Linked DNA regions of Macaca mulatta. The main gene of each other region encodes a partner of the protein of the gene in region 2 in a complex. Links are inferred from orthologs where the notes say so. Each region holds a gene or a part of one and is shown on either strand. Other genes may lie near its edges.

Region 1 (4,252 bases), on a different chromosome or scaffold from region 2:
CCAACTACTCAATTTTCTGGGGCAGCAGGAGGTGTGTTTGAATCTGAACTTTTTTTTTTTTTTTTTTTTTTTTTGAGACGGAGTCTCGCTGTGTCTCCCAGGCTGGAGTGCAGTGGCGTGATCTCGGCTCACTGCAAGCTCCGCCTCCCGGGTTCACGCCATTCTCCTGCCTCAGCCTCCCAAGTAGCTGAGACTACAGGCGCCCGCCACCACGCCCGGCTAGTTTTTTGTATTTTTAGTAGAGACGGGGTTTCACCATGTTAGCCAGGATAGTCTCAATCTCCTGACCTCGTGATCCACCCGCCTCGGCCTCCCAAAGTGCTGGGATTACAGGCTTGAGCCACCGCGCCCGGCCTAACTTTTTTTTTTTTTGGAGACAGAGTCTTGCTATGCTGCCCAAGGCGGGACTTGAACCGGACTCAAACTCCTGGGCCCAAGCGATCCTCCCGCCTCCGCCTCCCGAGTAGCTGGGATTACAGGCACCAGACACCGCGCCCATCTTCGAATCTGAATTTTTTAACACGCTGTCTTCAGCTTTTTTTTTTTTCCTAAGTCTCACTCTGTCACCCAGGCTGAAGTGCAGTGGCACGATCTCGGCCCACTGCAACCTCCACCTCCTCGGTTCAAGCGATTCTCCTCCCTCAGACTCCCGAGTAGCTGGGATTACGGGCGTGAGCCACCACACCCGGCTAATATTTGTATTTTAGTAGAGCGGGGTTTCGCCATGTTGGCCGGGCTGGTCTCAAACTCATGACCTCAGGTGAGCCGCCCGCCTCGGCCTCCCAAAGTGCTGGGATTACAGGCGTGAGCCACCACGCCCGGCCCTCTTCATCTATTTTTTATGAAACCAGAGTTAGAGAACCTCTTAAGTTTTTGTTTCCAGTCTCTCAACTACTTCACCGGTCTCCCCAAAGCAGTTCCAGTACTGGCCGGTAGAGGGAGCAAGAAAAAGCAGAACGGTTTCCTTTTCCCACAAACGCTTTTCCAAGTGAAGAAACGGGCGAGACCAGCCGTGGGGCGGGACTAAGCTCTGCGCAGAACTGTCAAACCCGGGCTTGGGCCCCGAGTTGTCACGTGAGTGTCCGCGGTCAGCTGACTCTGCCGGAGTACTTCAGGGAGGGCGCGGGGTGGCCCCCCTAACAACGCGAGCCGAGGGCTGCTGCTGATTGGTGGAGGAGCATCCAGCGGCAACACCGTGGGGCGGGGCCTCGGCGGTGAGTATTGCCATTGCCTTCCGCAGGGTCACGTGGGAGGTGAGGTACAGAGCGCTGAGGAGAAAGTGGGGCGTCGTTGTCCTGTGTGTGCGCATGCGTTGAGGTCTCGGGACGCCGATTGGGGGGTCCCGAGTCACGGGCGGCTTGCGGCGGCTGGTGGGGGCGTGGCCGGCGGAGCGGGCGCCGCGCTACGAGGCCTCTGGTTGGCCAGCGCGAGTCACGTGATTCCGGGCCGCAGGCGCCGCGCGCCGGTGCGACGTCAACGCAGCCGGGCGACTTCTCCCGATCTGTGTTCCGCGGCCCGGCCGCGGCTGAGTCTTCCCAGGGCCAGTGTCGGGCGCTTTGCTGAGTCCTTTTGTGGCCGCCATGGACAATTCCGGGAAAGAAGCGGAGGCGATGGCGCTGTTGGCCGAGGCGGAGCGCAAAGTGAAGAACTCGCAGTCCTTCTTCTCTGGCCTCTTTGGGTGAGAACCGGGCTGAGGGGTCGGCCGGGACCTAGGCTGAGAGGACGAAGGAGTCACGGTCGGAGGTGGCGGGTTAGGGCACGCAGAGCTCGGGCCGAGGGGACGGAGAGGAACCTGGAATGAGGTGACTTGGCCTGAAGCGGCAGAGGCTACACAGGCTGAGGGCCAAGAGCCTGGGCCGGGGCAACACGGTTTGAGGAGAGACGGTCTGACATGGCGGAAGGGATTTGGGCTGAGGACACACGGACAGAGGCGACCCTGTCTTGAGGCGAGGAAGGGGACCCAGGCCGAAGACAGGCCAGCGGGAGGGGGAGAACCTGAACCGAGGGAATACGTCCTGAAGCCGTGGAGGGGACCGGCTTGGGGGCAGGGAGGGAGTCCGCGAGATAAGCCAGGTCCGGAGGCTTTTCAGAGCTCTAGGGGAATGTGAAGGCTCTCGGGCGGCAGTGATGGGGCCTGGGGCTGAGGACGCCTGCCCGAGGGACTGACCTTTTCATCCCCCGGGGCAGTGGATTTGCGTGGGCCCTGGGCAGTGAGGGTGAAGGCTGAAGGGGGCTGACACCTTTGGAGGGGCTCAGGGCTTAGATGATCCTAGGAGCAGTGAGCTGCGTCTGAAGTGTGGGGGGTGCCTGGGGTGAGTACGGCCCTGGTTAGCAGTGACTAGTTTAAGGACAGCTGAGCGGAGGAACCGGGATGATGGAGTCAAGACTGTGGCGGTCTCAGCCCTTTGGGAGGCCGAGGTGAGTAGATCATCTGAGGCCGGGAGTTCGAGACCAGCCTGACCAACATGGTGAAACCCCGTCTCTACTAAAAATACAAAAATTAGCTGGGCCTGGTGGCGGGTGCCTGTAATCCCAGCTACTCGGGAGGCTGGGGCAGGAGAATCACTTGAACCCAGGAGGCGGAGGTTGCAGTGAGCCGAGATCACGCCTCTGCACTGCACTACAGCCTGGCAACTGAGTGGGACTCCGTTTCAAAAAAAAAAAAAAAAAAGGGAAAGAAAAAAACCTGAGGAGGCCTGGGTTGAGGCCGGAGACTCCTGGGTGGGGGAACGCGTGGTGGTGGCTTGGCCAAGGAGATGGAGGGATAACAGGGAGAGACGGGGACTGAGAGAATCAAAACTGGGGATCAAATTCCTGCTGTGTGATCCTCGAGTAATGGGGATGACAGGAACATGCTGAGAAGAGGGATGGGAAAAGGCTTGGGAGACAGAACTAACGCATGTGACATGGCATAAAACTCACGGTAGCTCCTAAAAGCTGACACCACCATCCTGTGATAATTTTAGTGGCTTAAAAGTATTAAGAGCCCAGGTTTGAAATGTGGCTCTGCCACTTACTTCATGACTTTGGGTAAATGGTTTAGTCTCCCTGTTAAAGGAGATCACAAATCTAACCTGCCTCCCATTTGCTGTGAGTGTTAGAATTGAGCCTGGCGTGGAGTTACATCTCTGAGAGTGTTAGCTATTGTTAATGTGACTTCCCAGAAGGAAACAGGTTTGGAGTGTGCAGAGAGCTGATGGGGTTCAAGGTGGGCGCCCGAGAGGAGAGGTCTGGGAGGGGTCAGGAGAGGGAGAGACAGAAACATGGGTGTGCTAAGAGGAGCTGAAAGGGAGCAGTAAAGGGAGCCACGAAGACTTAGTAGGGTTGAGAGGAGCATGAGGCTCTGGGCAGAGGAAGTAAAGGGAGTTTGGCAGGGGGTGGTGGTGTGTGGGGGGGTGGGATCTGTGCTGATGGGGGGACCCGAAAAGGTCAAGGGGAGGCTGTGGAAACTGAGGGGAGGACTGGGAAAGGACTAGTGGACCTGTAGAGAGAACGGTCTGTGGTGGCCCCTCAGAAGCAGAGCCTGGGGAAGTTGGTGGGACTGGGAGTGTCTGCAGAAGGCTGGAGAAGGGGGTTTGGGAGGAGGGCCTGGGGATGGGAAGAGACTGGGGTAGGAGCCTGGCAGAAGCTGGTAAGACACAAAGGGGAGGGATCTTTCCAAGAGAGGAAGGAACAGGAAAAGGGCTCTGGGCCACGCCCCTTGTTTGAGGTTGGATAATGTTTAGCAAAAGAACTTGAAGAACATGATGGTGAATTGCCTGGTGTGGAGAAACATCTGGGGCTGATGGACTGTATTGATTAGGTGAAAAATATTTTATTTTAGAGGCTGCGAGGAGACAGAGGGTGTGTGTGTGTTTTCTTTTTCTTCACAAGGGGAGAAGTTCAGGTGCTGTGTTTGGGGGTGGGGCCACGAGCTGGATTTTTGGTGATAGTTTTCCTAGGTGGCTCTGGGTGTCTGGTCCCTTTGGCCCAGGGATTAGTGGGCTGTTGGACTGTGTGCTTGGAGGGAGCAGCTAAGTCAGCCCCAAGGCACTTGCTACCTGGTTGGGAAGGCAGGATGCACAGCAAACGCTAGTAAAGTGGAATTACCTACTGTAAGGAAGGGCTCGATTATATCATTCCTGTGACTCTGAGCTCAGAGGAAGCAGTGTGAACCAGGGGGAAGCTCATGGTGAGGAGTGAGCTAGGTCCCAAGGAACCACAGGACTTGCTGGGGAGTGGGGCCAGGGAGGGTGCTCTAGGCAGCAGGGAT
Region 2 (3,500 bases):
CTTCCAAACAGTCACCATACATCCAGAGTTGATGTACAAACCTTTGTCCACAGAGACAAAAAGTAAAAGAAGCATAGTGAAATGAATGCAGGAAAATAGAAGAGAGAACAAGCCATCTAGCACCAAAAAGGGAAACCCCTCTATGTCTTCTTCATGCACCAGCTACAGGCATGAGTAAAAAGTGAAGCATTCTCATTTAAGCCAAACTACTCCAGAAGTTGACCATTCTCGAAAAAGGCACTAGCAGGACAGTAATAGCCTTCATGAGGATTTGAAACGCAGGTTCGGTAGCTTCTTTGCTGGGCTGAGGGGCAGGGTGGAGAGTGCTTACAAACTGCTACTTTAAACTATCCTGGTGTTGTAATGGAGGAGAGTGGTTTAATGCTGGTATGGTCTCCATGGGCTGTATTGCACTGAGCTGCCTTGGAGAAAAACTTACAAATCCAGGCATACCTATTGTGCCCAATAGAAACATGTGCAGCATATTTTGGTGGGTGTTGTAATTAAAGGCAATCAAAGATGTTTTTAGGTTCTTTACATAGTAGAAACCACATGCTTTTTAGTCCAAAAACAAGAGACATTCTTTGGTCCCATTTTCACATTTTCTTGTGTAAGACACCAGAATTTAACATTTTATTTTCTTCTTTCACCAGAGGACCACAGCCATCTATTAAAACTGGCTCTAATATTTGCAGACTGGGGACCAAGCAACCCTAGAGACAAACTGGAAAATTGTACCAATAGAATTTCAGCAACTCCCACAATCAAGCCGCAGGCCTTAGTGCAGTCAAAATTTATTGCACCAAAGGGCCATGGACCCATTCAATGAAACAAGATCCCCAAACTAAATTTAATAGGGCTTAGAGTCTGGCTTTTTTAATTGTTATTTTTCCAACTCCCCATCTCCTCCCTCCTCAGATGAAAAAAAGTTATATGGACTTCGTGATGTTTTCTGCTATGTCAAATGTCTGCTATACCATCTTTGGCAAAGTCAAATGAGTGGGAAGTATGCGTTTCTGAAAGAAGGCAAACCACTGCACCCACAATGCTGCACATAGACTCACATCACTGCCGTACATCTACCATAGTCCCTTGAAACATGCCGAGACAGGGCGAAGCCCTCAGAGAGTCCAGGGCACCACCAGCCACTGCGTTGTGACACATGGTTTTTAAAGCATTATTTACACACAATAGGGAACACCTCAGTCAAGCTTTGAAGCTTAGTTTAGGGTCTCTTGTGCATTAAGGAAATTAGTGATCACTCAAATGTGGAATTCGTAGGAGCCATCATTTCATTAGAACATTAGAATCCATCCCAGGGGAACCTGCCTCCACCCTTTCTTCACACACAGTTGATGAAGGGGGGAAAATGTGTCTGTTGGAATTTATCACGAAATGGATGGAAATCTCACCTGGGGGCAAGTTGCCACGGAAAGGAATATACAGTCAAATCTTGACTAACTGGAATGCTTGGTAATGAGGTTTTTGTTTTGTTTTGTTTTGATGAATTATATGACTTTCTTAATGAACAGTGGGGCCAAGGAGGAAAGTTTTGTTTCATGGGTGATGAGTGAATATCTTTGCTAGACTTCTGAGCCACTTTCCTGCCTGAAAGTCTTAAGGTAGAAGACCTGATTGAATCTTTCCTTGGTTATCATTTATATTGATTGCTTGATGGCCTTTTCTGTGAAGATCAACTCTTATTGTTTGGTCGTCATAGATGTGGAAGTTGCAGGAGGATGGAGACTAAGCAAGACAATTCGAACTACCCTGGAAGTAAAACCATTTTACATTTCTGATGTGAGGTTTTCTCTTTGTTTCTTTTTTGCTAAAAATGGAAGGGAGCAAGAGCATGCAGCTGAGGTTTCCAGTTAGCTAGATTCCAGTTAATCAGGCTTTACTGTAGATCATTCTTTAAAAAGCAAATTATTATTTTTTTTTTTTTTGCAATTTGAGCCCCTCCCCCTCCTAAACAGGAAGTGGGATATTTTAAATCAGCCTCAAAGTTTAAAGGATGTGAATGGTCATATAATCTGCTAAAAATGACGTCAATTTCTATTCTAAAAGCTAGGATCAGGAGAGCTTTTAGGAAAAAGTCTTCTTTTAAAAGGGGGATGTGGGAGGGGTGAGGGAGATTGGATAAGGAGTCTAATTTTCCAAATGCATGTTGGACAATCCACTCATGCATTTCTTTTTCCACCACTAGTCAAATGAGACAATCTTCCAGAACCCTCAGTATTAGGTTCCTTCCGTTGCAAACCTTTATAACCACATGTCACATTTCTGCTACATTCCAAAAAAGCGTTGCAGAACCTTGAGAACAGTTGAATGTTTTGTGATGTTGTGCATGCAAAATCTACACATTTCAACATTTCAGCCAGTGTACGGGTAGATCTTCCAAGGAGAAAAATTTGGGAGGGATGGGTCCAATTTGAGTAAGGCTTGAACACTTCTTGCTGAAGAGCTCATTGCCTCTGTGTTGGGTACAGCAGCAGCATCTATCGACCAAATTTGGCAACTGGTGGGCAGTAGAAAGGGAGAATCTCTGTCATATTCTCTAATTTATAGAATGCTTCCCTGGGCCAAATTACCTGTCTCTTTTATTTTGGAAAAAATCAAACCTTCACATATGTGTTTCTCATCTTCCAAACTTACCCACAGCCTTTTCTAAACCTGCAATTTTGACTCTTGGGGTTGGGGAAAAGGAAGTTCCCTGGGTGCCTCTTTCTTGAGGCTAGCCTCTGTCTCAAGGTACACTTTCCGGAAAATGTTGAAACGTTCATCAATAAAAGTTGCTGACAGTGAAGCTTTCACTGTAGTATGCCTGATTTTTAATGCATCAACAGTAACTCCTGCTAATATCATCTATGCTATGAGATGAATGCATTGGAGACGGTATTGATCTGTTCTGCATGCCACATGCTCATCCTGCCTATGAGCTTGGCAGGAATGAGCTTGTCAAGGCTTGGAGATGGGCCTTGGGAAACCAAAGCTTCAGGCAGGCAGGCAGCACCTACTTGTTACAGGGACACACACAAAGCCCGCAGAATTTTCCTAGGTCCGTCAAATTCTTTTCTGCTTCTTTCATGTCCTTATTGATTTGGTCCATCCCTTCCTCAATGCGTTCCAGTTGTTCTGATTAAACACAAGTATTTTATCCCCACAGAATGAAGCAGATGGAAAAGGACAAAGAAAAAAAAGACAAAACTTCAGACATTCACTTTGACATTAAAAAAGAAAAAAAAAAAAAAGAAAGAAAGAAAACTGGACGCCACAGATTAGAGCTGGTACCCAGTACCTACTTGTTACAAGGACATATGAAAAGGCCACAGCATTTCCCTAAATCTTTTAAATTTTTCTCAGCCTCCTTCATGTCTTGGTTGATATGGTTCATGCCTTCTTCGACACGATCGAGTTGTTCTGGTTAGGACAAAGGGATGACAGTGTGGAATGAATTTTTTGGGGGTCTCCAACAGAACATGAGAAATGACTATGTGAAA
Region 3 (4,273 bases), on a different chromosome or scaffold from region 2:
GGAGAAAAAAATAAAGACTGTATAAAATTGTGACATTAGACTGTTTTGTCGGATAACAGAACAAGAATTTCCTATAATGTATCATTTAAGGTCTCTCCACAATCCACTCACAATATATTGGAATTAGTTCTGATTTCCAATATATAGATATTGAATTTTTTAGAAGTATGTGAAAAACTACTGATATCCATCTTTTTAGATGTTATTTCTATAATTAACATTTGTAAAGAGTCATGAAAATAAATGTCACAAACCAAGCCTAAATTTTCACATATTCCTAAGACAGTGGAGAAATGAGACAACAAAATCTTATTTTTCTCACATGAAGTCAGCTGGCTTCCTTTTTGTACATCTTTTCGTGTCTAAACTTGTTAATTCAGTTGTACATACACATGAGGTAATTAAGTGATTGTTCCTTTGTCCTTGTAACCAAAAGGTGGCACCTCTAAAAACCAGAGTTAGCTTTCAACAGAGACAGTATTTTTTTTAAGTCATTTAAATGTCAAAGCCCTAGAAAGAGAATCCTTTTTCCTGACTTGGTAATTCTGCTTAGGTCGGAGGGATCATTGCCTCAAATGCAAAATGGTTTGGAAATAGTACACATTACGCTGATGGCAAATGAATCCAGCTCTTCTCTAAGTTGGTGTGTAAACTTATACATTAAAGATACATAGTGAAAAAATACTCTCTGAGATACAAATTAGTGTAGAAGGTCAGGCAGAGTTAGGATAGAAGATTCCCTTTTCTTATATCAAGTGGACTTCTAGAAAAAAAAAGTAAGACTGCATTTCCCCTTATACATAAAAATAAGTGTTTTGTATACTAACATCTGCTGATTTTTCTGTGTTCAGGTAAGACCCACTTGGAATGCTTTCCTATTACATCAAACGAGGCACTTCTCTATACCTCCTTCCATCTGACAGTACTATCGCTTCTCTGTCCCTGATGAATACTAAGAAAATAAAGCTTATATCCCCAATGATGGAATTAGAGACTGCTGAAGCTGCTGTAAAGGCTCTGTCCAACAAGTACCATTTACTTGACCTATTATGCAGGCAGCCAGGGGCATGTTGCTGTTTTGATATATTTTTCTTTCTTTTAACAAGACGTTACAAAAATGTTTTCCCCTTCAGGATTTTTAAAATTTAGGCTATCTTTCTAGCATTACTTTCTAAACTTTGTTCCAATACAGGAGGATTCTTGTCCAGCTGAGCCTCCATGTGCCTTCTAAAGGGAGTGCTGAAATTGTACAAACATCATGTTTACATCCATTAAATATCCTCCTATTAAAAGAAAATAAAGCCAGGCATAAGTTTGGTATCCAGACAATAAAATTCAAATAGATAGTAGAAAGGTAGAATAAAGTGAAAATTCATACACAAATGTAGCTTCCACACAAAAGTTAAACAGTTGCTTTATTTCACCAAAGGGTTAATACTGGAGAAAGTGAACATCAACATGTACACAAAGCTAACTAGAAGATTAGCTTTCTCAAAGTAGAAATCCAAGCCTCCCTATAAAACTGTTGTCCCTTGCAAATGTTTTGAAACTTTACATTTTTTGATCCCCCAACAACAGACCATACCAAGAAACCTCAGGAAAGTAATAATCTATTTTTAATTGTGTTTTTTTTCTTACTCAAGAAACCTTTCAAAGTTCAGATATTAACACTGATGTGCAATACCAAATTGTCAGTCCCACAGGACAGATGGAAACAGGAAAAGTCAGATGGTTGGCACTCAAAAGCAACAGCAATTAAGCAGTTGAAAGTGGGTTGGATTGTCGGTTTATTTTTGTTCCATTTGAACGAATCAAGTGAGAGACATAGTCTCTTGCAAGGAGGAAATCAAGTCAAACTTGACGCTTCCCCTCTCTGACAGCCCAAGCTGGTCGGCTTGTCTACTCCCCTTATTCAGTTTAATTGCTTTCTGTGCTCTGATTTTCGCAGAGATTGTATTCTATCTTGTTTACGCCCCAACCCACCCACCCCCATATCCCTCTCCCCAACAGAAAGAAATCTTTCTCCTTTCTTCACTCCCCCTCTTTCCTCTAAGAAAGGCAATCCTCTCCAGGAGGAGAAAGAAACCCTGTGCGTGCTTAGGGTGGGAGGAGGGCGAGAGGGGAGGTGTGGGAGAGAAAGAGAGAAAAGATTGAGATTGGGGGCGGGGGACAGAGGAGAGAGAACAAGAGAAGGAAAGAGGAAGCAAGAAGATGGGGGATGCCCAATATCAACTCCAAGCTCTAAATCACGGGCGCTGTGCAAAGTGCTTTTCCAGGAGATGCACATGTGGTCTCATATTTCTCACAATAGGCCACCCGGGGATCCCTCCCTAGGTCTCAGACTCCCACCACTAAAATCCAAGTGTATCGAGAAGAAAATCTTTGGGATGGATTCGAGCAGATAGGCACCGCCGAGGTGGCCGCGCCGCCAGTCCCGCTTCCTTACCTGGAGGGCGGACCGGGAGGTGGTGCCGGGTCTCAGTCCCCAGTGCTCTCCCGGCGTGGACCGGCGCGAGGCACACGCGTGCTCTCGCTGCCTCCGCTCTTGGAGGGGCAGCCTGCAACACAAAAGGGGTGTGTGGGTGTGGGTGTGTGGGAGGTTTTCCAGGGCCACCAGCTGGTCCCAGCTGGTCGCCCCCACCCTACACACACCCCTTCGGGGCGCCGAGCCCCCCTCTCGGCTGAGCACCACCCTGGGGGCTTGCCCGGGGTGCAGCCTCAAGTTGCCGCTGCTAACTGCTGCTGCCGCTGCCGCTGCTGCAGGAGGAGGTGGAAAGACACTGGGGGCAGTACTCGTTCTAAAGCATCCCCACACTGCAGCTTCTCCAGGAATCCCTCCAGTGAGGAGGCGGCCGCCCATCATCTCCCAGCCCTAGCATCCTGATTGGCTCCACCTCGGCTACGCTGCGCCAAGAAGCCAATCCCAGCACACTAATAATAGGTGGATCCGCTCAGCCAACATCTCCCATCCCAGTTCTGTTAGTGTCCCTCCATCCCCACAGCGGACAGGGACCTGGGAAGCGGGGTGGAGGCGGGTTGGGGGAGGGAGTGAAGTAAGAGGGGAACAGATGCCAAGGAGACACAATCAAGGGCATCCGATAAAACCTCTGGGTAGACTCAAGAATGCCCCAAAACCTGTTCAGCAAGCCATATGCACAGGAGAAAGAGAGCGAGCATAATACAAAGCTTTTTTTTTTTTTTTTTTTTTTTTTTACTTTCAATCAAAACCTGCCCTGATACTGAGCATGCCCAGACTGCAACAGCGACCTAGGAGTTTCGACGTGTGTGGGTTTGCCAGCTGTAGGTTTTTGAAAAGCTGGGACCCGGGATAGAAGAGGCAGAAGTTTGTCTTTGGCCATTTAACCCGGCGGAGTTGTGAAAGCTGGGCAGGGTGGGGACATGAAAGGGTTCTGCACAAGTGTCTTCAAACTGAGCCGCGGGGAGGTGGCCCGCCGGGCTGCTGGAGGTTCATCATGCTATTCTTCTGGGGTTCCGGGTTGGAAGCGGGGGCGGGATAAGCTGAGCTTTGCTGGAAGCCTGGAGACTTCCCGCGAAGGGTGTGGTGTTGCGAAGATGCAGGAGAAGCAGCTCCGTCCCATAGGTGGGGCCGGGAACGCGACTCCACCCATGAGCGGCGGCTGCCAGGCAGTGGAGAGTGCACTGGGAGTTTCCATTGCAGCGACCAATAAGTTTGTAGACTTGGGTCAAGTGCGGCATTGCTGGGGATGCTTTTTATTTTTATTTTTTGCCACCTCCCTCCCCCATCTCTCTCGACCCCTTACCAGAGCAGTGACGACTAAAGCACAAATCTCTCCCTGCTTCCTCTCTTCCCAGCTGAACCGTTCTGCTCGGAAGTAAGAAGCTTTTCCCTTGTGAGGGCGGTGGTGACCTGATTGTCTCTAAGCTCTCAGGCAATTTATAGCTTGGTAATACCGAGATACCAAACAGGAAGGCTCAGCGGGTGGGGGAAGGGACCGCGCGCCAGGCAAGGGGCGGGAGCGGAGCCCACCTGGGAGAGGGGCCCGTCCATTATCTGCTCCACAGGTGAAAGGCTTTCAAAACGCAGAGAACTATTTCTCTTTCTCACTCCCTCAACCTCGTTTAAAGGCCTTTGAACCTCTTATTTGTTTTACTTAGAAACCCTAGCATTTTGTGTAAACTTGATCAATAGCTACAAATGAGAACTCACCTAATTGGGTTCTTTATTTTACTGAGAAGATTATCTTGGCATCTCAGGTAGGGAAATAAATAGCTATCTCAATTCCCCAAACCC
Region 4 (3,500 bases), on a different chromosome or scaffold from region 2:
CAGGTGCTTACAGTCTGGAAGAATTCATAATTTCTAAAGCCTAAATTAAATGTTCTCAATTAGGGCCTGAAGGTAACTTCCCTGCTTTTTAAAAGATGTTCAAATGATGTGTGGCCTCTAGCTAGGCATTTGTGTGTGTATACAAGTTTTCCACATATGGAAAGGCTGCTCAGCTTGCCCTGTGTCTCAAAGTGTCACTTGTAAACAAGGCAGAGGACAGGATACATCTGGATCTGGTCGCAGCACGCTGACTCACTGACTGTATAAAATCTGCTTTGGCTTGTGCTCCTGGGCGGGCTGCTTTCTACTCTTCTGTTGGGCACACTGTGGCTTTCTAGCATTTCTTTCCCTTGACCTTGGAACCATTCACAGAACTACACGAAAACTAACCAATTCCAGCCCTCTCCTATGTGTTTGGGGCCCTGCTGGGGTAGAGGGTTGGGAGGGGCTGATGACTGTGAGTGATTTTGGATATTCTTGTTCTACGTGCATCTTCTGAAGATCAGCCACAACACATAGAGGATTCCCAGGGTGAGGCTAGGAAAGGGTATGTAGTCAGTGTTTCAGATTCACAGTGGACCCACATTTCCATGTGGAGGAAATCAAACCCACCTCCCAGAGTCATGAAAGTCCATTATCTGTAGCCTGTTAATTCTCTGAGAATGGAGAAGGGGGCTTAAATGTAAAGGTGAGTTAAAAGATAATTACCTTGCAATTCTTCCACCAATATTTCCTCTTCAACTTGGCTGCACTCGTTTCAAATTGAGAAGCGCCTGCCTGCAGTGCATCTGCACGGTCGTCTAACTCAGAGAGCTTCTGGTCTCTTTCCAGAACCTTGTCCACATTAACTCGCATTATGTCCACCACCTAGATGAGTGTGATCACAACAAGTAATGCACAAAGAATGGAGGAATAGGGCCACGTGTGGTGGCTCACGCCTGTAATCCCAGCACTCTGGGAGGCCGAGACGGGTGGATCACCTGTGGTCAGGAGTTCGAGACCAACCTGGCCAACACGGCGAAACCCTGTCTCAGTACTAAGAGTATAAGAAAATTAGCCGGGCGTGGTGCTGGGTGCTTGTAATCCCAACTATTCAGGAGGCTGAGGCAGGAGACTCACTTGAACCCAGAGGGCGGAGGTTGCAGTGGGTGAGATTGCGCCATTGCACTTCGACCTGGGCGACAGAGTGAGACTCCGTCCCAAAAAAAATAGAGGCACAGAGACTTCAAAGACAATCTATGGGCACATTGTTCTTTCAGGTCAGCACTTTATTACTTTGAGCCAAACTTTCGCTTTAAAAAAAATGAGCTCACTCTTTCATCATCAAAACAATCAGCATATTAAGGATAGAAGGGAATTTCTTTAATATGATAAAGGGCATTTATGGGAAAATCCACAACTAATATCATGCTCAATGGTGAAAGACTTCCCCCCTAAGATCAGGAACGAGACAACGATGCTCACTTTCACACTGCCACTCAATACTGTACTGGAAGCTCTGAACAGAACAATTAGTCAAGAGAAAGAAAAGGCATCCAAATTGGAAAAAAAGAATAAACCTATCTGTATTTGCAGATGATTCTCTTTATATAAAAAATACCAAAGAATCCACAACAAACTGCTAGAGCTAACAAATACAGCAAAGTTGCAGGGTACAACAACACATAGCAATCAGTTGTGTTTCTATACACCAGCAACAAATAATCTGAGGTGGAAATTAAGGAAACAATTGTGTTTACAATAGCATCCAACAGAATAAAATACCTAGGAATAAATTTAACCAAAAGGCGAATGACTTGGACAATGAAAACTAGAAAACATTTATGGCCAATTGATTTTTGACAAGAGTGCGAAGGCCATCCAACAGTTTTTTCAATAAACAGTGCCGGGCCAACTGAAGAGCCAACATGCAAAAGAATGAAGTTGAATCCCTACCTCACCCTATATACAAAAAGTAACTCAAAAGGGATCAATAATCTAAGTGTAAGAGCTAAAGCCATAAAACTCTTAGAAGAAAACATAAGGGTAAATCTTCATTACTTTGGATTTGACTGTGGATTCTTAGATTTGATACTGAAATCAAGAACAACAAAAGGAAAAACAGATACACTGGACTTCATAAAAATTAAAAACTTTTGTGCATCAAAGAACATTATCAGGCCAGGTGCGGTGGCTCATGCCTATATTCCCAGCACTTTGGGAGCCCCAAGCAGGTGGATCACCTGAAGTCAGGAGTTCGAGACCAGCCTGACCAACATGGTGAACCACTGTCTCTACTAAAAATACAAAAAATTAGCTGGGCAAGGCGGTGGGTGCCTGTAATTCCAGCTACTCTGGGGGCTGAGGCAGGAGAATCACTTGAACCCGGGGCTTGGAGGCTGCACTGAGCTGAGACTGCACCACTGCACTCCAGCCTGGGTGACAGAGCAAGACTCTTGTCTCAAAAAAAAAAAAAGATAAAAATTAAAAAAGAACATTTTGAAGAACGTAAAAGACAAGCCACAGAATGGGAGAAAGTATTTGCAAATCACATGTCTACTAAAGAAAGATTTAATATCTAGAACACATAAAAAACTCTCACAACTCAAAAACAACCCAATTAAAAAATGGGCAAAGCCTGAACAGACATTTCTTTAAAGACATATAAATGGCCAATAAGCACATGAAAAGATGCTTACCATCACTAATCATTAGAGAAAGGCAAATGAAAACCCAAAGAGCTCAGTAGGATGGTTATAATCAAAATGGAAAACAAGTGTTGGCAAGGATGTGGAGAAACAGGAACTCTTGGACATTGCTGGTGGGAAAATAAAATGGTGTGGCTATTGTAGAAAACAATTTGGCAGTTCCTCGTAAAATTAAACATACAGTTACTATGACCTAGCAATGCTACTCCTAGGTATATATTCAAGATCAATGAAAGCATATGTCTAAACAAAATCTTTCCTGTGAATGTTTATAACAGCATTATTCATAATTGCTGAAAGATGTAAACAACTCAAAGACTCATTAACAAATGAATGGCTCAACACATTGTGTATACACATACAATGGAATATTACTCAACCATAAAAAGGAACATGGTACAACGCGTTACAACTTAAATGAATGCGAAAAACTTTGTGCTAAGTGAAAGAAGGCAGATGCCAAAGGCCACATACTGTATGATTCCTTTTATATGACATATCCAGAACAGGCAAATCCACAGAAAGAGAGAGCTGATTAGAGGTAACAAGGAAATGGGAGGAAGGGGAAATAGTGAATGATTACTAAATGGGTATGAAGTGTTCTAGGGTGATGAAAAAGTTTTGAAAATGGAAAGAGGTAACAGTTGCAAAATATTACGAATATACTAAATAACACTCAATTATATACACTTTAAAATGTTTAGTTGTATGTTATGGTAATTTCACCTCAATAAAAAACAACCCTCCTTAAAATTCCTTTGGTTAAAAAAAATTCCAATTTGATTTTGTAAGTCAACAGAAATTTCAGGCAGG
Region 5 (4,123 bases), on a different chromosome or scaffold from region 2:
AAAAAGAAACACCAGTTGAGAGAAGAGTGATGGAACAAAAAGAAATGGAAAGGGATGGCAGTATGTAATGATACGCTACTTAACATGCTGGACACTCCCAAAGACCTTGGGATTCTTAGGACCAAGTGGGGCCAGTCTCAGAGCCTCCCATTGGATGCAAACAAGATGCACCTAAGGAAGCCTGGACAGATGCTTTTTGTTTTTTGTGGTCTTTTTTGAGGGCGGGGCAGAGGGAGCATGACCGGGAGAGGGAGGAGGAAAGGAAGGCCAGGGTGGGGGGAAGGATCAGCTAAATCTGAGGGAAGAAGAAGGAGAGGAGAGGGACTATTGCATAGCAGATGCAAATGAAGGGACTTGGGGCTAGTCAGGAAGAAAGGGAAAGGGAAGGCAGGCAAGAGAGAGGAGGTGAAGGGAACCTCAGGAAGGGGTGTTAAGGACAACCAGAAAAATCTTCTAGTAATAAAACTACAAACAGACCAAATATATATAATATTATATATGTATAAATAACAGCTGGCTATTTACAGGGGGACACACACACGGACACACACACGCACGGATCCAGGGAAGGGGGGCTGAAAGATATGGCTGAGAGGTGGAGGAACGGCTGAGGGTGGGGGGAGAGGCCCTTCTTTAGGCAGGGCAGACTCCTCAGGGATTTAAGTGCTGAAGTAAACTGTGGAGAGAGGGGAAGAAGATGAGGAAGAGGGAGAGGGGAGAGAGAGAGGGAGAAAGAAAGAAAGCAGTGTGTCAGGCCTGGCCCTGCTCCAATCCTCCCCACTCCCCAGCTGGCTGGCACCCCTACCCCTCTCTTGGACTCAGTTTCTCCATCTACAAAGCAAGGGGTTAGACAGGTAGGTTATGAGGTCCCTTCAGTTCCATGGTATGGCCTTGAGGCCACATACCCTAATCCTCTGAGCCTGAGGCCACAAGCTCTCAAATAATGGGGTGGTTGGCTTCCTGGTCATGTCTCAAGCCCCTGGGCCTTTCCTTTCTCCCACTCCTCAATTCCAGGGCTCTCAGATTGGGCTCTTAGGCCCAAAGGGTCCTCAATGGATACACCAACTTTTATATTTCTAAATGTTAACAAAACTGCCAAGAACCAGGCAAAATGCAGGCTAAATAACATCAAAGTTTTTGGCTCTAGGTGAATCAGAATTGCCATTAGCAGCTATATGTGTTTTTGGCTGAAGAGTAAAAACTAGGTTAATGACCTTCAAAACCCAGAATCCACTGGGGAAACCTCTCCAGGGAAAGGGCCCCGGCCATTCCCAGCCTACTCACCTATGATGATGATGAGGATGATGGCGCAAATCACTCCCAAGATGATCATCATCTGGGGGTGAGAGGAGAGGATCAGCGAGACTAACTATGATACCCCATTCACCTGCCAGTCCTCCTTCCTGTCCCCATCCTTACCTTGAGGTTTTTCCACCAGTATTTGCGCTTGAGCTTGGCTGCACTTGTTTCAAACTGGGAGGCCCCTGCCTGGAGTGCATCTGCACGGTCGTCCAGCTCCGACAGCTTCTGGTCCCGCTCCAGGACCTTGTCCACGTTCACCCTCATGATGTCCACCACCTGGGAGAAGGGCCCACGGGGCAAGGGGGTGTGCCAAGGCCCACCTCATGAGGGCAATCCTCAAACATGTGCCCACCGTGCCACACATGGAACATGCACCCTGATGCTGCCAGGTTAACATGCCAAGGACACACACAGTACATGCCTAGCACACCTGGGGACATGCAAGGAGCACACATCAGGGGATTGCTGGTGACATCTCAGATATCATAGCAACACCCTCCCTCTATGGCGCCTCAGGCGCTCTGTCCATCACCAGAGCACACCTGCCTAGGCTGGCACACCCCAGGCTAGCAAAGCTGATTAACACCCCCAGCACCCTTCCAAGTGCGTGCTGACAGGGAGACACGGATGGGGCAAAGTATCTTTGTCCGCAAACCCACAGGCGTGAACTGTCATCACTCCCAAACCAACATGGGCCCCTACACCTAAACGCCAACCCCCAGGGTCCTTTCTACTGCTTTTGACTCCCCCCACACTCACCTCATCCACCTGGGCCTGGGTCTGCTGCAGTCTCCTGTTACTGGTGAGGTTTGGAGGGGGTGCAGGGGGGCCACCCTCCCCAGCCGGGGCGGCAGGGGGGGCCGTGGCAGCGGTAGCAGACCTGAGGAGCAGGGACGGATTAAGACCCAGGGCCTGCAGTCTCCCGGCCCTGCAGCCAGGGCTCCGCCCATCCACCTGTCCATCCTCGTCCCTCCAGTCCTCCTTTTCGGGAGGAAGGCCACCCGATGGAAGCCCTGGTCCAGGTCCAGCCTCGCCACCGATGAGCTGCGTGACCTTGAGCGAGGCCTCCCCTCCCCCCGGCCTCAGTTTCCCCGCCTGTCAAATGAGGGCGACCTCACAGATGTGATCGGGGTCGACCCGAAAAGACAGGCGGCCGCGGTGACAGGGGCGGGGCGCGGCAGGAGGACACAGGGTCCGCTCCTTCCCGCGGCCATCGCTCGAGCCGGCCAGCCCGAGACGCTGGGCTTCTCGGCCGCCCGCGCGCAGTCACCGGCTTGGGCCTGGCCCCGGGGCGCGGGGAACGCGGGAGAGACCCCGGGCACTCCCCACGGCCGGTTGCCAAGGGCGGCGGCCGGTGCAGGGAAGCGCGGTGAGGGTGGCGGGCGGCCGACTCACATGGCGGGGGCAGCGGGTGGAGGACTTGGCAGCAGCAGTGATGGCGGCGGCGACTCGCGCTGGCTCCGACTGGCGCTGGCTGCCCGGGACGGAAAGATGGCGGCCGCGCGTCACCCGCATCCGGGCACTGCGGGCGGGGGCGGGGCGCCGCGGGCGACGCGTCGGGAGCGGGGCCGCGGGGGCGGGGCGCTGCGGGACTGGGGTCGTGCCGGGCGGGACTGCGGGTCTGGCGCCACCGTGCCCCGGCAGCTCTCTGGGCACTCACGGGACCACCAGGCGGGTTGCTGCGGCTTCCCTAAACCCACCGTCACCCCGCCCTGTCTGAGCACAGCCTTCCACAGCCGCCCCCAAACCTCTTGCCACCTGCCCCTTAGGGCACACAGCAGCCTGGCCCCGCACCTAACCCCCAGACCACTCCCTGAATCGTGAACCCAATAAGCCAGCCTGCATCCCACACAGCCCAAGGTCTCGCCCCGCGCCCAGGTCCCAGCACCTAGCGACCCGCCTTCAGCACTGGGAATGGGCTGGGGTTGGGAAATCAGAGAGGGTCAGTACAGGCGCTGGGGCAATATCGAGAGCGGGGACCCTGCTGCTAGGGTGGAGGGGAGTGGAGGAGGTTGGTCTCAACCCATCACCCCGCTGGTGGATGTCTCAGAGGAAGCCTGCGATCCCAGGCCACTGGGTAGGAGGGTGGGAAGAAAAGATGAGGCAGGCTCTTCCCGCCGAAACAAGTCCAGGGGGTGGAGGACCGGGGAGTGTCTACAGGGTGTGAGGAGGGGGGTGCCCCGCCTCACGATTGAGGTTCAGACCAGGGGTACTTAACAGCTGGAGCAGGCCCGACTGAGGTGGGGTGAGCTGAAGACCCCGAGGAGGAGGGCACAAGGCAGCCGGGGCTGATGGGGGCAGGGGCTGCTTCACGTGGTGGCTGCTGACTGGCCAAGACCTAGCTTTGCCCCAGGCTTGGGTCAGCGACCCCAACTGCAGGAGAGGGCTCAGGCTTTGGTCCCAGGCACAGGGACCAAAAGGCTTTTTTCTCTCTCATTTTTTTTTCTTTAGTAGTAGGCACAGTGGGTACAGTTTACAAGGTGCTGCTTTACATGCGTATTCGCCTCGCAGGTGTGACCTTGGACAGTTGCCCTCCTCTCTCTGGACCCCAAATACATTGCATATGTAGATACTAAATCCATATTCGTTAAATGGCTTGATGTGGATAACATGGAAGATTATCCCTATCTCCATTAGGCCCTCTAAGCACACCCAGAGGCTGTGTACACTCCCACCCAGCTTGTCAGAGAAGATGGGACCAGGGGAGCTGTCGCTCTGGTGGAGTGCAGGGGATCAAAGCAAGCCTCAAGGGTACAGGAGGCATTTTAGGCGAGGCCCTTTGAACCTGGGGTGGGGGTGCTTACTACATCCCTGGAAGGTG
Region 6 (4,297 bases), on a different chromosome or scaffold from region 2:
CATAAATAAAGCAGACCCCTTTCCAGCTGAGCTCAGGATTCTAGAAATCTGGCAAAGTTCTCACAAGAGACTCCCCTATCCCCATTCACCCCAAACAGAGCCTCTCCCCGACACAGGATAAATTCTCAAGCACAGTGCTAACCGTTCCTAGAAATGTGGGCGTGTGCAGTCACTCACACTCACACACATACCTATCTCAGAGTCAGAGAACCCCAGAACTGGAAGGGGACTTAGGGCCACCCAGACAGACTGCCCCATGGCATAGACAGGGAAACCAAGGCCCAGAAAGGGGAGACAGCTGGGACTGGAACCCAGGTTTCCTGATCCAAGTCCAAAGCTCTTTCCAGAAGCTTCTGTTTCCCTCTCCCTGGTGCACAACAATGCACCACTTCAAATGTGACGGGGGAGGAGGGAGGGCGGCCTCTTGGATCTTGGCCAACCCTAAGGAAGTGAGGCAGTGGAGAGATATTTGGGAAGTGTCCACATCTGGGCACCCAAGTCTTAGCTATCCCAGCTGGGCTGGCATGTACCGATTGACTAAACCAGTTGTTAAAACTATTAAAACATTAAAATAAAATAAAAATATGAAAATATTAAAATTAAATGGGGAGGCTCCCCTGAGGCCTCCGTGGCTCTCTTGACAGCCCCCTAAGATCCCCCAAACCTCTCCATAATCTAGCAATTAAAAGATTAACACTGAGTACAGCAGGGCTCCCCTAAGATCCCCTATTCCAGGACCCTAGCCATTCTGATCAATTAGTACCAAATTTCAATACTTTAAATATCACCCATAGCCAGATCTGTGGTTCTTTATTCGAACAAAATTTCCATACATTCATTATTCACATTCAAGGCTTCCCAGTGAGGAATCTAAGGCAACTTCCTCCTCAAGGTCACCCAGCAAGGGAAACTAGGAAGAGAAGTTAGGGATTTTGAGTACCAAATCTTTGGCACTAACCACCGGACAACCCTCCCCTTCTGCCTCATATGTCCTGCCTGAGCAGGCACATGCTCTGGGATTTCAGCATCTCTTCTTGGCTATGGGGCTAGAGAAAAAAGGAGTGAGTGAACCCTGCTTATATTTCAGGCTTGCCAATCTCTGACTGTTGTTTTATTCCTCCCACCTCCAAGAGCAAGAATCTAAAAAGGAAATCCTTGGGGGTGCAGAACACTGAGTTGGCCCCTGAGATAATAGCAAAGATGCTGAAAATAAGGGCATTCATTTCCAGAAAAGTAGATGTAATCAAAGCAGAAAGCAAGGTGAAATCCCCTTTTGATGGGTCACAGATTAGCATCAAAGGCATTTCAAAATTAAATGTGAGCTTTTGGATTCAGTTTCAAGGTACTTCCACTTCCCACTCACTAACAGGTTGGTGCAGCCTTTCCCCATCAGGATCTTGGAAAAAGAAACTAGTGCAGGGGGATGGTCTACCCTGGAACAAAACTGAAGCTGGAACCTGGAATCTTTCCCCAGAATTTGAACAAGCTTTTTTCCCCTCCTTCCTTGTGAGACGAACTCAAGGATAGAATCTCCCAAGCTAGTGCCAGGATGCTTCCCCATACAATCACTTACAGGTTACGCCACCTGTGAAAATAAAATATCATCTCCTCTGCAGGCAGTGGCTGCTCCCTTCTGGCCAGTCTGACCACTCATCCTAAGCAGAGTGTGGCCCTTTCCTGGCTCCCACGTCTCCCATCTCAGGAAAGCAGGAACAGCCAACCTCGCAAAAACCATCACAATTAAATTATTCAGCTCTTCCTGGAATTGGGTACAATCTAAGCTCTGTCCTGTGCAAATCTTACCCAGTGTGCTCAGGCAAGAGTTACCCTTCCAGTCTCAGGTGACCCCCTCCCCTCCAGGGATAAGCACTCACTTGCTAAGTCAGAATACCCAGAGTTCCTCCATGCCAGACTAGCCACCCCCACAAAGGGTTAACTCTTTCAGAGAACTGCCGGCTACTTTCACCAGGTTCTGCTGCAAAGGAGAGGGCAAACTGGGCAGAAGCCACAATCTTGATCGCATTGCCTACAACATGAGCACATTTTACCCCCTCCCTGGGCACTAAGCCAAAATCTCATTTGGCTTTGGGATGCCGCTTAGGTGATAAAACACTGCAGAATGTAGGCAAATAAGCATAGTCGTTCCTCGATACCCTTCTCCTCCCAACTACCCTTTACCCCACCAGCTCATGCACACACATCACAATTGGGATTCTAATACCCCTAGCCCATCTGCACAACCAAGGAGAATATCACTTACCGCGACGCGGGAGGATTGCAGGGGGAAAGGGTGAACCAAATTCTTGCCAACTCCTCCCTTCCCTGCCGGGTAGGAAGACGCTAAGTCCCAATGACTTGGTTCAAAAGCTCAGCGGAGGTGCCTGAAAGAAAATTGTTCATTTGAGTCTCCTACTCTTCCCAAAATAAAATCAAAGCACCAGTGCACACACGCAGACACACAGACACATCAACTACCCCTAAATCATGCAGGACCAAGACAAAAAGAAATACCACTGCCAGAAGCGGAGAAAACTCGGACCAGCCAGTGAGTCAGTGGACAAGGGACAGTGGCTCCCTCAGACTGTCCTCCACATGGATGAAGGTTTTCGCTCTGTACGCCTCTCTCTCTCTCTCTCTCTCTCTCTCTCTCTCTCTCCCTCTCTCTCTCTTTCTCTCTTTCCCTTCTGCCTTCCTTTCCAGTCCGCGTAGGCAACTCCGGGCTGCTGGCAGTAGACGAATCAATTGCTTCCCCAGAGCCGGTTTCTGCCGCGGCTGCCACCACTACTGCAAAGCCCTGTGTGAGCAAGGCAACCGGGGCGGCAGCTTCCCAGTGCAGGGGGAACCGAGCGGGAACCAAGCCTGCCTCCCACCCGTGATTTATGTGTGCGGTGCCTGGAGAAAGAAAGGTGGGAGGCCGGGAGGGGAGGTTGGGCGCACCAGAGATCCCAGCTGGTCGAAACGGCAACCAGGGGATTGGCGGTCAGCACCACGGACAGCGCTAAGATGCGGTGGAGGACGAGATGGGCGGGAAGCGAACCCCTAGGCAGAGAAGTTAAGTAATTGGATGGTTAGAGCAGAGAAGGGGGAGTCCGGAGGGGTGGGGGACGGGACTTCTCGACATCACACAGTCTAGTCGGTGACAGCTTACCTACCACACACTTGTTCTAATACCGTCGCTCATTCTCAGAGCAAAGGAGCTATAACTTCGCAGCCCCTGTCTCCCACACGCCCCCAGTCCTGCATTGCTCCTCTCTGCTCAGACAAGAGTTTGGCCCCAGTGTACGGGGCTCCCTAAGTGGTTTTTCCCCTCAAAATTTTGCCCAGCTGACCTGTCCTCACCCCCATTGCTGCAGATTTCTGACCTATACCTGGAGTTTCTCAGAATTCGGGGCAGAAAAGCTGAGGCGTAAGAAACGGAAATTTCTAAGGGGCAGGATGGCTTAGTTGAATAAGCACTTGACAATCTTCTGGAAGCCAGATACAGCCCCCTTACAACCCTAGAAAAGTCATTTAATGTTTCCAAGTCCCATCTGTAAAAATGATAGTATAATGACCTCATTTTTCCTAAAGATAGGAAGCAAGAGGTTAAAATGCAACAATAAGAATACTCAAGCTGTGAACCACCATGATTTCATGATCCATAACCTGTCCTACAACACAAATGTTTGGACAGAGCAATAAAGGAATTGACAGCCCACCTAGGATGGCATGGGCCAACCTCACCCTTCAGCATGTGGTTTGAGTGGAATGAAGGGAAATTTTAAGTCTAAATCAGACCATTGAGCCTTGGCCAAAGACCCTTCCCTGAAAGATCCAGACTGGCTTTCTGAAATGAAATCGCTATACGGACAATGAAATAAAAGTATCAAAAGGGGAAATATGTAAAGAGGAATGGATTCCCATGGCTCCCAGTGCTCCAGCACTCAAGGGTCCTATTCCTGCTAACTTTGGGAAAGGGCTCATGTTGGAAAAAGGCCAGGAAATATCAAACAGAACAAGATCTGCTTAGAACTTCTCTGCAAAGTGAAGGAGAACTCTCTCTATTGGAGACTCACATCTAAAGCTTCCCATCCAGATGGCCCAGGGTTAACTACCACATTTGTCACTTACTTCTCCCCATGAGACACAGGAGTTAAAATGAAAACATTTAGAGCTTCATTTTAAAAACAATTTTTCAAGACAGTGTCTCTGAGTGGCTCACGCTTGTAATCCCAGCACTTTGGGAGGCTGAGGTGGGTGGATTACCTAAGGTCAGGAGTTCAAGATCAGCCTGGCCAATGTGATGAAACCCCACCTC

Evidence for each region.
Region 1: the proteins of SNAP25 (region 2) and NAPA are in contact, whole or in part, in a cryo-EM structure (PDB 6MDM), measured with the Rattus norvegicus proteins. The link is inferred for Macaca mulatta from reciprocal best matches to the Homo sapiens genes SNAP25 and NAPA. Residues at the interface, in NP_112253.1 of Rattus norvegicus: Glu37, Lys40, Asp41, Ile44, Arg45, Leu47, Asp51, Glu52, Glu55, Gln56, Arg59, Glu62, Gln152, Asn159, Met163, Asp166, Glu170, Thr173; in NP_542152.1 of Rattus norvegicus: Lys122, Glu155, Glu156, Ser157, Asn158, Ser159, Ser160, Asn162, Pro196, Leu197, Leu198, Tyr200, Ser201, Lys203, Asp204, Ala234, Phe235, Ser236, Arg239, Ser268, Ile269, Ser270.
Region 3: the proteins of SNAP25 (region 2) and SYT1 are in contact, whole or in part, in a crystal structure (PDB 5KJ8), measured with the Rattus norvegicus proteins. The link is inferred for Macaca mulatta from reciprocal best matches to the Homo sapiens genes SNAP25 and SYT1. Residues at the interface, in NP_112253.1 of Rattus norvegicus: Lys40, Asp41, Ile44, Leu47, Val48, Asp51, Glu52, Glu55, Gln56, Arg59; in NP_001028852.2 of Rattus norvegicus: Cys277, Arg281, Lys288, Val292, Leu294, Glu295, Asn336, Tyr338, Asn340, Arg398, Arg399, Pro400, Ala402, Trp404.
Region 4: the proteins of SNAP25 (region 2) and VAMP3 are in contact, whole or in part, in a crystal structure (PDB 5KJ8), measured with the Rattus norvegicus proteins. The link is inferred for Macaca mulatta from reciprocal best matches to the Homo sapiens genes SNAP25 and VAMP3. Residues at the interface, in NP_112253.1 of Rattus norvegicus: Asp147, Leu150, Glu151, Val153, Ser154, Ile157, Leu160, Arg161, Ala164, Leu165, Met167, Gly168, Ile171, Asp172, Gln174, Asn175, Ile178, Asp179, Ile181, Met182, Ala185, Asp186, Asn188, Lys189, Ile192, Ala195, Asn196, Ala199, Thr200, Met202; in NP_476438.1 of Rattus norvegicus: Ser15, Arg18, Leu19, Gln21, Thr22, Gln25, Val26, Glu28, Val29, Ile32, Met33, Asn36, Lys39, Val40, Glu42, Arg43, Lys46, Leu47, Glu49, Leu50, Arg53, Ala56, Leu57, Gly60, Ala61, Gln63, Phe64, Ser67, Leu71, Lys74.
Region 5: the proteins of SNAP25 (region 2) and VAMP2 are in contact, whole or in part, in a crystal structure (PDB 1SFC), measured with the Rattus norvegicus proteins. The link is inferred for Macaca mulatta from reciprocal best matches to the Homo sapiens genes SNAP25 and VAMP2. Residues at the interface, in NP_112253.1 of Rattus norvegicus: Gly131, Gly132, Phe133, Ile134, Arg135, Arg136, Asn139, Leu150, Glu151, Ser154, Ile157, Gly158, Leu160, Arg161, Ala164, Leu165, Met167, Gly168, Ile171, Asp172, Gln174, Asn175, Ile178, Asp179, Ile181, Met182, Ala185, Asp186, Asn188, Lys189; in NP_036795.1 of Rattus norvegicus: Asn25, Thr27, Ser28, Asn29, Arg30, Arg31, Leu32, Thr35, Gln38, Val39, Glu41, Val42, Ile45, Met46, Asn49, Lys52, Val53, Glu55, Arg56, Lys59, Leu60, Glu62, Leu63, Arg66, Ala69, Leu70, Gly73, Ala74, Gln76, Phe77.
Region 6: the proteins of SNAP25 (region 2) and RPH3A are in contact, whole or in part, in a crystal structure (PDB 5LOW), measured with the Rattus norvegicus proteins. The link is inferred for Macaca mulatta from reciprocal best matches to the Homo sapiens genes SNAP25 and RPH3A. Residues at the interface, in NP_112253.1 of Rattus norvegicus: Glu38, Asp41, Ile44, Arg45, Leu47, Val48, Met49, Asp51, Glu52, Glu55; in NP_598202.2 of Rattus norvegicus: His617, Ser618, Ala621, Ile648, Ser649, Ala650, Lys651, Gly652, Leu655, Tyr659, Leu662, Lys663, Lys665.

What each region holds. Positions count from the first base shown.
Region 1 is NC_133424.1:60,010,145-60,014,396, reverse strand, and holds the start of NAPA (alpha-soluble NSF attachment protein), read left to right. Parts: upstream 1-1,452; 5' UTR 1,453-1,580; coding exon 1,581-1,678; intron 1,679-4,252. UniProt on the Homo sapiens protein: Required for vesicular transport between the endoplasmic reticulum and the Golgi apparatus. Together with GNA12 promotes CDH5 localization to plasma membrane.
Region 2 is NC_133415.1:73,737,030-73,740,529, forward strand, and holds part of SNAP25 (synaptosomal-associated protein 25), read right to left. Parts: intron 3,421-3,500; coding exon of another isoform or gene 3,303-3,420; intron 3,136-3,302; coding exon 3,018-3,135; intron 1-3,017.
Region 3 is NC_133416.1:86,055,938-86,060,210, reverse strand, and holds the start of SYT1 (synaptotagmin-1), read right to left. Parts: upstream 2,801-4,273; 5' UTR 2,447-2,800; intron 1-2,446. UniProt on the Homo sapiens protein: Calcium sensor that participates in triggering neurotransmitter release at the synapse. May have a regulatory role in the membrane interactions during trafficking of synaptic vesicles at the active zone of the synapse.
Region 4 is NC_133406.1:233,015,685-233,019,184, forward strand, and holds part of VAMP3 (vesicle-associated membrane protein 3), read right to left. Parts: intron 868-3,500; coding exon 709-867; intron 1-708. UniProt on the Homo sapiens protein: SNARE involved in vesicular transport from the late endosomes to the trans-Golgi network.
Region 5 is NC_133421.1:9,677,680-9,681,802, forward strand, and holds the start of VAMP2 (vesicle-associated membrane protein 2), read right to left. Parts: upstream 2,801-4,123; 5' UTR 2,700-2,800; coding exon 2,698-2,699; exon of another isoform or gene 2,265-2,697; coding exon of another isoform or gene 2,257-2,264; intron 2,183-2,256; coding exon 2,062-2,182; intron 1,579-2,061; coding exon 1,420-1,578; intron 1,337-1,419; coding exon 1,285-1,336; intron 677-1,284; coding exon 660-676; 3' UTR 1-659. UniProt on the Homo sapiens protein: Involved in the targeting and/or fusion of transport vesicles to their target membrane. Major SNARE protein of synaptic vesicles which mediates fusion of synaptic vesicles to release neurotransmitters.
Region 6 is NC_133416.1:120,035,655-120,039,951, reverse strand, and holds the start of RPH3A (rabphilin-3A), read right to left. Parts: upstream 2,801-4,297; 5' UTR 2,512-2,800; intron 2,382-2,511; 5' UTR 2,261-2,381; intron 1-2,260. UniProt on the Homo sapiens protein: Plays an essential role in docking and fusion steps of regulated exocytosis.